Linked DNA regions of Caenorhabditis elegans. The protein of the gene in region 2 purifies or fractionates together with the protein of the main gene of each other region. This does not show direct contact. Each region holds a gene or a part of one and is shown on either strand. Other genes may lie near its edges. The genes, in order: fce-1 and Y56A3A.30.

Evidence for each region.
Region 1: the proteins of Y56A3A.30 (region 2) and fce-1 fractionate together in Caenorhabditis elegans (co-fractionation; one large-scale study listed by BioGRID). This does not show direct contact.

Annotation. Positions count from the first base shown.
Region 1 is NC_003279.8:9,710,335-9,714,375, forward strand, and holds fce-1 (CAAX prenyl protease 1 homolog), read right to left. Parts: upstream 2,386-4,041; 5' UTR 2,385-2,385; coding exon 2,296-2,384; intron 2,250-2,295; coding exon 2,108-2,249; intron 2,062-2,107; coding exon 1,341-2,061; intron 1,295-1,340; coding exon 1,227-1,294; intron 1,182-1,226; coding exon 873-1,181; 3' UTR 718-872; downstream 1-717. Other genes in the region: rnh-1.3 (RNase H type-1 domain-containing protein), read right to left, coding at 1-134, 182-273, 322-409; C16C2.4 (BSD domain-containing protein), read right to left, coding at 2,648-2,772, 3,248-3,573, 3,900-4,041. UniProt on the Caenorhabditis elegans protein: Proteolytically removes the C-terminal three residues of farnesylated proteins.
Region 2 is NC_003281.10:11,973,573-11,981,258, reverse strand, and holds Y56A3A.30 (SP-RING-type domain-containing protein), read left to right. Parts: upstream 1-2,193; 5' UTR 2,194-2,195; coding exon 2,196-2,257; intron 2,258-2,417; coding exon 2,418-3,124; intron 3,125-3,458; coding exon 3,459-4,451; intron 4,452-5,141; coding exon 5,142-5,627; intron 5,628-6,732; coding exon of another isoform or gene 6,733-6,753; exon of another isoform or gene 6,754-6,782; intron 6,783-6,999; coding exon 7,000-7,055; 3' UTR 7,056-7,131; downstream 7,132-7,686. Other genes in the region: Y56A3A.31 (SOSS complex subunit A homolog), read right to left, coding at 6,733-6,753; ung-1 (Uracil-DNA glycosylase), read left to right, coding at 7,170-7,228, 7,274-7,686.

The DNA.
Region 1 (4,041 bases), on a different chromosome or scaffold from region 2:
TGATTCTTCACATCTTGTCCCGAAGAAGTTTTGTAGCCATTCGACTTCCAGTTGTCATTCCATTTGGTGACAGAATCCTTCGCGTTCTTGGAATCAGTGTGGATTCTCACGTGGCTGTCTGGAACATCACGAGCCTGAAAATGCAGAAAATTGAATGTTGGTACGAATGTTTGAAAATTACCATTTGGGTGGCGTGCTTGATGGCTTCCAGCTCATATCGATTGTTGGTTTGTGGTCCGTGTGGATAAGAGCCACTCACATTCTTCGATGTATCTGAAATATGTTCAAATAAGGAACAATTAATTGCACAAAAAACCGTACCACTTGGAACGTGAACTCCATAGCCTCCTCTGGAGCCTTGTTGGCCGTTTCCGAGAGCGGAACCGTCGGTGTAGAAGTCGTACGGCATTTCTTTAAAATTTCAGTTCATTTGATAGGAAAAAAGCATGCGAGAGAGAAAAGAAGAATGAAAACGGAGATCTTAATAAAAACAAAATGATGATATGAATTGTTTCGCAGAAGAAAGCAAACTTCTGGAAATTCCCGGGAATTAACAAAACAAAACAACAATAAAGCGAACATTCTAGAAAACATTTTTTTTGTTCTCCGCGGGTACTGTATTTGAGTCGCGGCGAGACCCTTCTATGAGACAGTTTGTGCGAATGAGAGACCGAGAGATCAGTCTCGTTCCGTTTTAAAATTTTCCTTGGAATTTAATTGTATTTCCAGTTTTTGTTTAAAAAAATTTATTTACTATAGAGAATATTAACGAAATTTAAGTTCAAAAAATGCAATAATATCACATTACAATCATAAATTAAATTATATAAAATACTTTGGCATTCAAGAAACAAGTAGTAAAACATGGGAATTTATTTATTCTTTGCCTGGAAGGCTCTAACAGCAGCTACTCTTTCAACAACTGGAGGATGTGTGTGAGTGCACCATGAGTAGAGTGAGTCATTGATAGGCATCGACAGATTGTCAACACCAAGCTTGGTCAAAGCTCCAATAAGATTTTCTCCGTGTCCGAGGTTAGCAGCAAACTCGTCAGCTCCAAATTCAGCAGAACGGGAGTGAATAACCATTCCAATACTAGCGAGTTGATTGTAGAGAGCGAGGACAAATTGGAAGATGAGCATCATGCCAATGACTGGTGGAGTATCGTGATAGCCGAATCCCTGAAAATTAAAATTTTAAGAATTTAATGGTTTAAATATAATTACTTGATAGAGGGCTTCCCATTTATAAAAGTATCCAAAAACTGCAAAAGAGAAGAACAAGTTGACTTCAGCTGAAAAATTCTACGTTTTGCTGTGAGTTCAGTTAAATCAACTTACTGATGACAAGATTGATCAAAGTGTGCCATAAAGCCCAATGACCCAATTCATGGCCCAGAACGGCCACAACTTCATCGTTGTTCATTCCTCTCTTTTTGTCGTTTTCAGTTTCTTCGATTTTCTCTCCAGCTGCCACATACAATTCATGTACTTTCTCCTTTTCAGCTCCACTTAGCAAAGTATCATAGAGCACAATGCGCTTGTTCTTCCAGAATCCATACATGTAAGCATTGGAGTGAGCCGAGCGTTTTGAGCCATTGACAACGTAAAGTTCAGTTAATGGATAACTGAGAGAAGCAGCTAATTGTTCAATTTTCGTCTTGAGATCTCCATCAGGCAATGGGAAATATTTGTCGAAGAGTGGAGCGATGAAAGTTGGATAAATGGTCATCAAAAGTAGCACAACAACAGAAACAAATAACCAAATATAGACAAAGAAGTATGGTCCACCATTGACAATAATCCATTCAATTCCATAAACGATTGGCATAGTGAGAGCAAATCCGACGAGCATTTTCTTAATTTTGTCAACGAAATAGAATCCAATAGTTTGTTTATTGAATCCATGGGCATCTTCGATAATAAAAGTGGAATATAGATCCCAAGGTAAATCGATGATTGTTTCAATTATTGAGTTTATTGAGAGAAATACAGCCACATGCAATGGATAACTAGCCGTTGCGTACCAAAGGAATGGATAATATCCTCCAATCAATTGTGCCTGAAAATTATTTTTTCATTTAAAGTAAACTTCAGCAGTCACTAACCGTGAGGAGAAGCTGATTAAACCAACTATGGAAGAATCCGAATAAATGATTATCAATTTTATAGTCTCTGGCCTTCTTATAATCTTCTTCTCCAATAAGTTCTTTGACTTCATTGGGACGTTTTACAGCATTTTTATGAGCTCTGAAAATGTTTCTCGTTGCGAAAAATCGGTACAATGAGAACTTACTTGTACTGTCGAAATGTGATGTACTGATCCCATAAAAATAGTGCCCAATTTGTGGCTAAAAGTGCTTTGAATAGACAACTTGCGTCCATTCTGAAGATGAGAAATGTTAGTAAATTATTCTGAAAAAAATTGAAAAAGTAAAATGTTAGATTCGAGTTTAACGAACAGACAAAAAGTTCAAAAAACGTGTAAATTATATCACGAAATATTCATTGAAATTACAGATAGACATCGGGACATCAAAACATGAGCTATTTACAATTTTACACTGAAATTTTTTTTAATTTTAGAAAACGAAGTGAATAGTATTATTTGTTTCTTTTGGAATGCAATTGAAAATAGTAATTAAAAATTATTCAGCATTAAGAAGATCTTGAATTTCAGCTTCCCATGCATCATCGTCTTTTCCTCCAGTTTTTTCAACAACATCATCGTAATCGTTCAAATCATTGAGAATTTCTCGTTCCCATTCTTCATCTGAAAAAGAAAGAAAAATTAATTTTAAGAATCGGCGGTTTATGGTCAAAAAGTGGAACAAATCGAATTAAATTGATATTACTGCGGTAGGACATCAGTCTAAATATTACGTTGAGGTCTAAAGATGATAATTTTGGCAGTATCCAACGTGCATGGGTCTCACCACGCAAACAATCAATTACCGTAAGATGCGGCGAAAGTTATCATCATTAATCCTTTGCAATCAGGGCTGTCGTTTTTTTTTAAATTTAATATTTTTGGACAGAGAATTAAAAAAAAGTTTTCAAAACTGTTAATTTTCAGAAACGAGAAGGAAAAAGACACGCATTTTTTGTTAATTATTTTTGTGACAGCCCTGCTTGCAATCCGCCATTCATTGATATGTACTTTCTTCAAAAAATAAACCGTAAACTTATTCAGCATTTAAAATAACATAATCAAAGTTTTAACTTTGAAAAAAAAACATAGAACGCACCGACACTTGTCAAAGTTAGTTCTCCTGGTGCTGCAGGTTGTTCAGAAACAGTTTCTTTCAATTCTTCCTCTTCTTCATCCTCGTCTTCGCAACTTTCTTCAGATACGGTTTCCTTCACTTCCGGCTCATTTTCTTTCTTTTCTTCTTTAATTTCAGAAGACGATTGTGGAGCAACTTCAGCAGATACATCTGACTCTTCTACCTTCTTTTCCTCAACAATTGGATTAGGCGTCGGTGTAGTTCTTCCCGTGCCTTGAGCAAGCATAGATTGCCGAATGAGCCCGATACGATAGAAATAATTTTGCCAAAATTGATTCTCTTTCACTCTGAAATTTATTTCTCAAGTTTTGAAGAATAGTTGGAGGAGACGGTTGGGGATTTTACTTCAAGTGTTAGAAAATGGAATGCAATAACTAAATATAACTGAAAAAATGTACTGAATTTTTTAATGATTTTTGTTTTTATTTTGCAAAAATTAAAAGGAAATTTGCGCGGGTATTCGAAATATAATTGAGCCATTTATTAATTTTACAACATTTTTTTTAAATTAGAAGTGTTATTAACAGTTATAATGTGTTATTACGGTCCAGGTCCTAACACGTAGAGTAAAATTTCAAAATTACTTTTTAAAAAGTATAATTTAAAAACTCACTGTTTGGGTACAAGTTGGAATCTAACATTCGCAAGATTTGGATCATGTTTGAGTAAAAGAGTTGCCATAGCTTGTTGCTGTTCGTAAGTATATTCACTGTTAGCTGCTGAATCACGGAGAAAGTTTCTTGTGTTTGTTGACA
Region 2 (7,686 bases):
ATTTTGCGCGCCAAATATGTTGCGTAATACGCATTCTCGGAATTTTGTGTTCCCAATTTTCAAATATGTGAGAAATATTTGTTGTACATTTCCCAATATCCCGAATTTCTATTTTACCATAATTTACAGTAGGATTACGGTAAGAAATCGCAAAATTTCCAAAATTCCACACCGACCAATCACCAAGCCTGGCTCCACCCACTTTTGAACCAATCAGCGTTGATTGGCACGAAAATTGGCGCTGATTCGTCTAAATTCCTCCCGGCGTCAAACACCACAAAAACCTCCCGACCAATCAGCATCTTCGAGCTCCGCCCACTTCACCCGATTGGTTGAAGAGTGGGCGAAGCGAATCGCTGATTGGTCGCCTCATTTTGGAGGGAATTTAGCCAAAATAAGAAAATCTCGTTGGATTTCCATATTTTTTTCGACTTTTCTGGATATTTTAAGGCAAAATCCTTCTCCAAAAGTCTCCAAAAAAATTCCAAAAGCTTCTCAAATGTATTTTTCTTCTAAAAGTGCTTCCTCTCCAAATTTAAATTCATCAGCGTCTCCTCGAATTAAACATTGTCTGTCTGTGTCCCGGCGTCGTTCTATTTCTCTATGTCTCCAACATCATAATTTTTGTGAGGGCTGAACAGCCTCACTCTCGCCCTCTTGACTAGAAAAAAAACAGCCATCTCCTTTCCTTTTCTTCATTCCTTCCTCTTTTCCCAATTTTCTTTCCATACCAGTTGCACAGATAGTCTCGTTTTCTCTAGCCACCTTCAATTTATTGAGGAACATTGACCACATTACAATCGTCCCCAGTGCCGTGGGCAATACCGAAACCTGCCGTATGCCGTGGGAACACTGGGCACAGGCATATAGTTCACAATGGCATTTTGCTCTGATATTTGCTCTTTTTTTTATCGCATTGCTATCTATTTTCTGCTCTTTTTTGGTTTTTTTTGAAATTTTAAGAAATTCCAACTTTTCAATGTTTTCATGTACATAGAGCATCTTTTGGCAAATCCGCGATTTGCCGGAATTTTCAATTCCGCCAAAAAAATTATTTCCAAAAAATATTGTACTCTATATAGGTTTTACACATATTTTGTGGGCTTAATTTTTTTTTCTAGAAAATTGGCACACAAAAATGTGTAAAACCTATATAGATTCATCAGAAATTTTGAAATTTCCGGCAAATTGGCAAATTGGCGGATTTGAAATTTCCGGCAAATTGGCAATTTATCGAAAATGAAAATTTCCGGCAAATTGGCAAATTGATGGATTTGAAATTTCCGACAACTTGGCAAACTGACGGAAACCAAAATTTCTGGCAAATCAGCAATTTGTTGGAATTGAAAATTTTCGGCAAATCGGCAAATTGCCGAAAATCAAAATTTCTGGCAAATCGACAAATTGGCGGATTTGAAATTTCCGGCAAATTGGCACATTGCCGGAATTGAAAATTTCCGGTAAATTGGGACATTGCCGAAATGGAAAATTTCCGGCAAATCGTCAAATTGCCGAAAATCAAAATTTCCGGCAAATCGACAATTGACGGATTTGAAATTTCCGGCAAATCGGCAAATTGCCGGAATTTAAATTTACGGCAAATCGACCATTTGGCGAAAGTCAAAATTTCCGGCAAATCGGCATATTGCCGGAATGGGAAATTTTCGGCAAATCGGCAATTTGTCGGAATTGAAAATTTCCGGTAGATCGGCAGATTGACGGAATTGAAAATTTCCGGCAAATCGGCAATTTGCCAAAAATCTAAATTCCGCCACTTTGCCGGAAATCAAAATTATGGCAAATTGGCAATCGGATTCTAAAATAAAACTTCCGGCAAATCGTCAAATTGCCGTATTTCAAAATTTCCGGCAAATTGGCGGTTTGCGGGATATGATATTATCTGGCAAATCGGCAAATCGCCGGAATTGAAAATTTCCGGCAAATCGACAAACCGGCAATTTGTCGATTTGCCAATCGGCAACCGCTGTATAGAATTTGATAATTTTCTGAGTTTCAACATGAAAAAATATTTCAAACGATACATTTTCACATTCTTAAAATTCAGAATTTCTTGAAATTGAAAAAAAACCTTTTAAAAAAACTATTTCTCTATTTTTCCATATAAATTTCTAAAAAAATCGAGATTTTCCAATTTTCTTGCAATTTCCTTTCGAAATCACAACAATTTTCCAGAAATGAACGACGAAGACAGTGAGGAAAGGCGTCATCACCCTAAAGTACCCCGGCTTGCTAGGCAGTAAGTACTCAAAAATTGAAAAAATCGCTAAATTCGCTCCGACCAATCAGCATCCTCGAACTCCGCCCACACCACCTGATTGGTTGGGCAGAGCGAATCGCTGATTGGTCGGAAGTTTTTCGCGATTTTTCGTGCAACTTCAACAAAAAAAAACTTCCAGATCACATCCCGAACCACCTGGTCCTAGTTCAAGCACATCCAGCACTCCACTCTTCACCGATCCAACGATTCACACGATTCTCGATCAGATAGGCCAACGACTAGCGAGCTTCAGCGAAAGTGATGTGAAACGAATCAAAAACTACTTGAGCACTGTAACAGTGACACAGGAAGCGTGTGTTCTGTTGCTTCTGCCCAACAAAGAACGGGAGAAGCTAATGTTTGCCGAGATTGAAAGACATATACTGGAAAACTATGAATATAGTATGATAATTCATCGATATGTGAATGATGTGCTGAAGCATGCCATCGAAACACAGTTCGTTAATCCGGATAAACTCGACGAGAGCAACGATGCTTGGAAGGACGGATTGAAGATGATTAGCGAGCAAAAGATGAGAAGCTCGCGGTACACGGCAGCTCGGGCTCGAAGTCAGCGGTTCGCAATCGCGAATGATAGCTACTTCCCGAGGCCTGAGATTGTGCCTAGTACAGATCATCCTGTCTTCGCTTCAAGACCTTCGGTTTCTACCCAGGAGGTTCGAACTGGGCGCCAACAAATAGATCAGGAAGTTTCTGGCAGGAAGCGAGAATTTCATGGAAAGCTGATTCCGATCACAGGCGTGGTTGAAGAGCCAAGTGTCAGAATAAATGCCGAACTTCAGCAGTCAGAAACGCAACAAATTGGAGACAGTTCAGATCAAACAGGTAAGTTGTTTAGTAATATTGGCTTATTTCAAGCCAATTAGTACATCAGAGACAGGATTGCACGGCAATCGAATTTTCGGCAATCACCGAAATTGCCGGAAATTTTAAAACCCGGCAATTGCGGAAATTGCCGAAACTTTTGAAAATCGGCAATTGCCGAAATTGCCGACTGCTCAAAATTTTAAAAACCGGCAATTCCCGAAATTGCCGAAAACTTACAAAACCGGCAATTGTCGAAATTGCCAGAACTTTTTAACACCGGCAATTGCGGAAATTGCCGATTGCTCGAAATTTTGAAAACCGGCAATTGCCGAAAAATTGAATAACTTTTCAGATACTGCGACTCCGATAAGCGACATAGCCACTCATCAGGATCCGGAAAACGAAATCAGTCCATCAGTGACAGAAGGTTCCAATGATATTGCTGACGATGCTGGAGCAGGAGACGACTTTTCGGAAAGTACTACTGGAGCTGTGCAGCCTGAGCAACAAGCATCCGAGCACTCCAACTCGGAAGGTGTCGAGAAGTCAAGCTGCGCTGAATCTCTTAAAGAACAGCCAGATCAGTCGAGCCCAGCCGTTTCTAATACTGTTTCGGAAAACTCTAATACCGATAGTGAAATATGCTCTGGAATAGATCAAAATCCGAATTCGGATAACCTGGAATCTACGATTGATGTGGGTGAGCCGCTTCGCAACACCTCCGATCAGCCATCTCCTGATCCTTGTTCTGATGTCCAGATAGGAGTGAACAGCACCACCAAGCAATCCACTGATCCTTCTGTGAACGTTCAGCTTGGACACAAAAGCTCCGATCAGCCATCAACTGATCCTTCGGCACATGCTCAGTTGGAGGACAACTGCACCATCCAGCCTTCAACTGATCCTTCTTCGAACGATCAGCTGGGAGACAATACCTCCGACCAGAATTCAACTGATCCTTCTTCCGACGTTCCGATGGAAGACCCTGGAGAATCAGGATCAGCTGCTTCAACGCCTCCACCCGACTGGGATGTTGCAGAAGTTCCGATTCCTCAGTGTAGTGGCCACTCTGACGGCAATATCGGAGGCACGAATGAAGTTACACCACCGGAACAAGAAGCTCAAGTATTGGCTCCAAGACGTTCAGAGAGATCTCGTATAAAAAATATTTGGCTCAGCCGAGATGAAGTCGAACGATTGAGATATGAATTTGTGCCACCGCCGTCCAGAAAAGATATTCCGAAGTGCACTGCCAAGAAGCCCGAAGCTGAGATACCGAATGTAGAGCCAGAGTCCAGTTCAACTGTAGAATCACAGAGAGATGAAGATCAAGCGGTTGCGAGCGGTGAGTTCAGAGATATTGAATATTTTACATCAGGGGTGGGCGGAAAATCCGGCAAATCGGCAAATTGTGGGAATTGAAAATTTCCGGCAAATCGGAGAATAGTAAGAATTGAAAATTCACGGTAAATTGGCAATCTGCCGAAAATCAAAATTTCCGGCAAATCGCCAATCTGCCGAAAATCAGAATTGCCGGCAACTCAGCAAATTGCCGGAATTGAAAATTTCCGGCAAATCGGCGAATTTCCGAAAATCGAAATTTCCGGCAAATCGCCAATCTGCCGAAAATCAAAATTTCCGGAATTAAAAATTTCCGGCAAATCGGCACATTTCCGGAATTGAAAATTTCCGGCGAATCGGCAAATTGCCGGAATTGAAAATTTTCTGCGAATCGGAAAATAGTGGGAAATTGAAAATTTCCGGCGAATCGGCAAGTTTGCCGGAGTCGTAAATTTCTGGCAACTCAGCAAATTGGAGGAATAAAACATTTGCAGACCGGAAATTGTCGCCCACCCCTGTTTTGCACTACGCTTTGACAAGTGTGAATTTATTCGCTTTTTTTATTTGCCTGAATTTTGCCGATAAAGAAGATTTCCGGCAAAGTGGAAAATTGCCGGAATTTAAAAATTTCCGGCAAATCGGCAAAATGCCCAATTTGCCGCCCACGCCTGCTTCACAAATTGATTAATTGCAGCCTCTTCCGTAGCTGAACCTCTGGAAGAAGCCACTACAACGAGTGTGCCAGAGCCAACAGAGTTTCAATTGTCACGGGACATTTATAGCACTGTAAAGCCGACTGATGAGGCTCATAGCCCGCCGATTCAAGCCCAACCGAAGAAAAAAGCCACGCCAAGACGGAAGAAAGCAGATGACGTGGAAACTGTAGTAGCTGACGGAACAGCGACGATCCCGAAGCCGAAGAGAAAAAGGCCGCCGAGGAAGAAGCCTGAGCCGAAGCCGAATATCGTTTTTGAAACAACGCCGAATCCTCCGACAGAAAGCTTCGCAGCCAACAACAATTTCCAGCAGTTCCAGTTTCAAAATCAGCCTGGTAGTTGGACCTACAACAATGGATTCGGCAATGGATATGGGTACGGCGGTGGAACCACTGGATACATGGATAATCTTGTTGGCAGAGGGTTTGACACGGTTTCTCAGCAGCCTGGATTTCAGAATCAAGGTACATTTTTTAAAAGGAATTGAGAAAAATGTGCCAAAAAATTTTAAAGGTGGACTACGCTTTGTGGGGAAATTGCTTTAAAATACGCCTATGGTACCACAATGACCGAATATCATGATTAAAAAATTCAAAAATTTTTTCTAAATTTTATATGATTTTTTGAAAATTGGAAAAATCACAGTTTTCCCCTAATTCCTATTTGAATTACCGCCAATTGAATTTGTTCGATGGGGCGCGCTTGCACGTTTTTAAATTTATTTATTTTATTTTTTGTTATTTTCCACCGATTTTTAATGTTTTCGGTGTATTTTTGCTCGAATTTTAGAGAAAAAGTCAAAATAAATGCAAATTTTCGATTAAAAAGTGCGCTTACAGGCGTAAATCAGTGAAATTAATTAATTCAGGTTCGAAATCGTTTAAAAGCGTTACTTTTTCATTTTTACGCCTGTAAGCGTGCTTTTTAATCGAAAATTTGCATTTATGTTGATTTTTTCTCTAAAATTCGAGCAAAAATACACCGAAAACATTAAAAATCGGTGGAAAATAACAAAAAATAAAATAAATAAATTTAAAAACGTGCAAGCGCGCCCCATCGAACAAATTCAATTGGCGGTAATTCAAATAGGAATTAGGGGAAAACTGTGATTTTTTCAATTTTCAAAAAATCATATAAAATTTATAAATTTTTTTTTGAATTTTTTATCATGAAATTCGGTCATTGTGGTACCATAGGCATGTTTTAAAGCAATTTCCCCACTAGCGCTACCCCACCTTTAAAGGAATTGTGAAAATTGTGAAAAAAAAAATCAAAATTTCGAAAAAAAAAGCGCTAATTTTAACTAAAATCTCTAATTTTGGCCACTTTTCCGTGCTGCAGCGTCCGAAAGTGCACTTTTTTTGAATTATTATTCTTATTATTATACATTAAAAACCCCCGTACTCCTCCAATAACGCCAATATTATCGACCATCTGGACGTGACCGCGTGCAACCACGGCCTAGCTGCCGCCACCCCATTCAAACGAGACATTTCGGCGGGAGAGTCCTTTTTTTCGATAATTCGGATTTTTTTGTCTGTTTCAAGTAATTTTCGCCATAAAAATTACCATTTTCTTCTTCGGTGCCATTTCTAATGATTTTCCAGTGCGTTTTGAGTCTGAAAGTTTGAAAATAAGAGTTTTTGCACAAAAATGTGTGAGAAAAGTTCAAGAAAATCGTCGAAAAATTCAATAAATTAATTTTAAAATTTAAAAAAAAATTAATTTTTTTTAAAAATCAATTCTGTGCATACACCGCCACGCAAAAGTGCACACAATTACCTACCGTAGTCAATGCGAAATTAAATGATTTTTATCGATTTTCTTCATTTTCAGGTTACGAATTCACCGGTTTGCCTGCAAATAACTCGAATAATTTCCCATTTTTGTGATTTAATTTTTCAAATATCCTTATCTATGCCCTCAGGTTTATTTTATCTCATTTCCACTCGTGTTTTTTGAATAAAAATTCTTTTTTTTTCTTCTAGATTTCCGTTTATTTCAGAATGTCGAAGACTGTAAGAATTCCGGACATGTTCCTCAAAGCATCCGCTGCCTCTAAACGGTATTTCCCGCTCTGAAAATTCAAAAAAAACCACCGAAATTTCAGAAAATCCGCTTCAAATACTGAAAATATTCCGGAAAAAGTTCCCGCGGGCAATGAAAATCAAGAAGTCAAGAAAATGAAGTTACAAGCACCAGAACCAACTGAAATTCTGCTAAAATCCCTGCTAACCGGTGAATCTTGGTCGAAACTTTTAGAGGAGGAATTCAAAAAAGGCTATATTTCGAAAATCGAGAAATTCTTGAATTCCGAAGTGAACAAGGGCAAGCAAGTGTTCCCACCGCCCACACAAATTTTCACAACATTCAATCTTCTGCCATTCGACGAGATCAGCGTGGTTATCATCGGTCAAGACCCCTATCACGATGATAATCAAGCTCACGGGCTCTCCTTCAGTGTTCAGAAGGGTGTAAAACCGCCGCCATCGCTGAAAAATATCTATAAAGAGCTTGAATCCG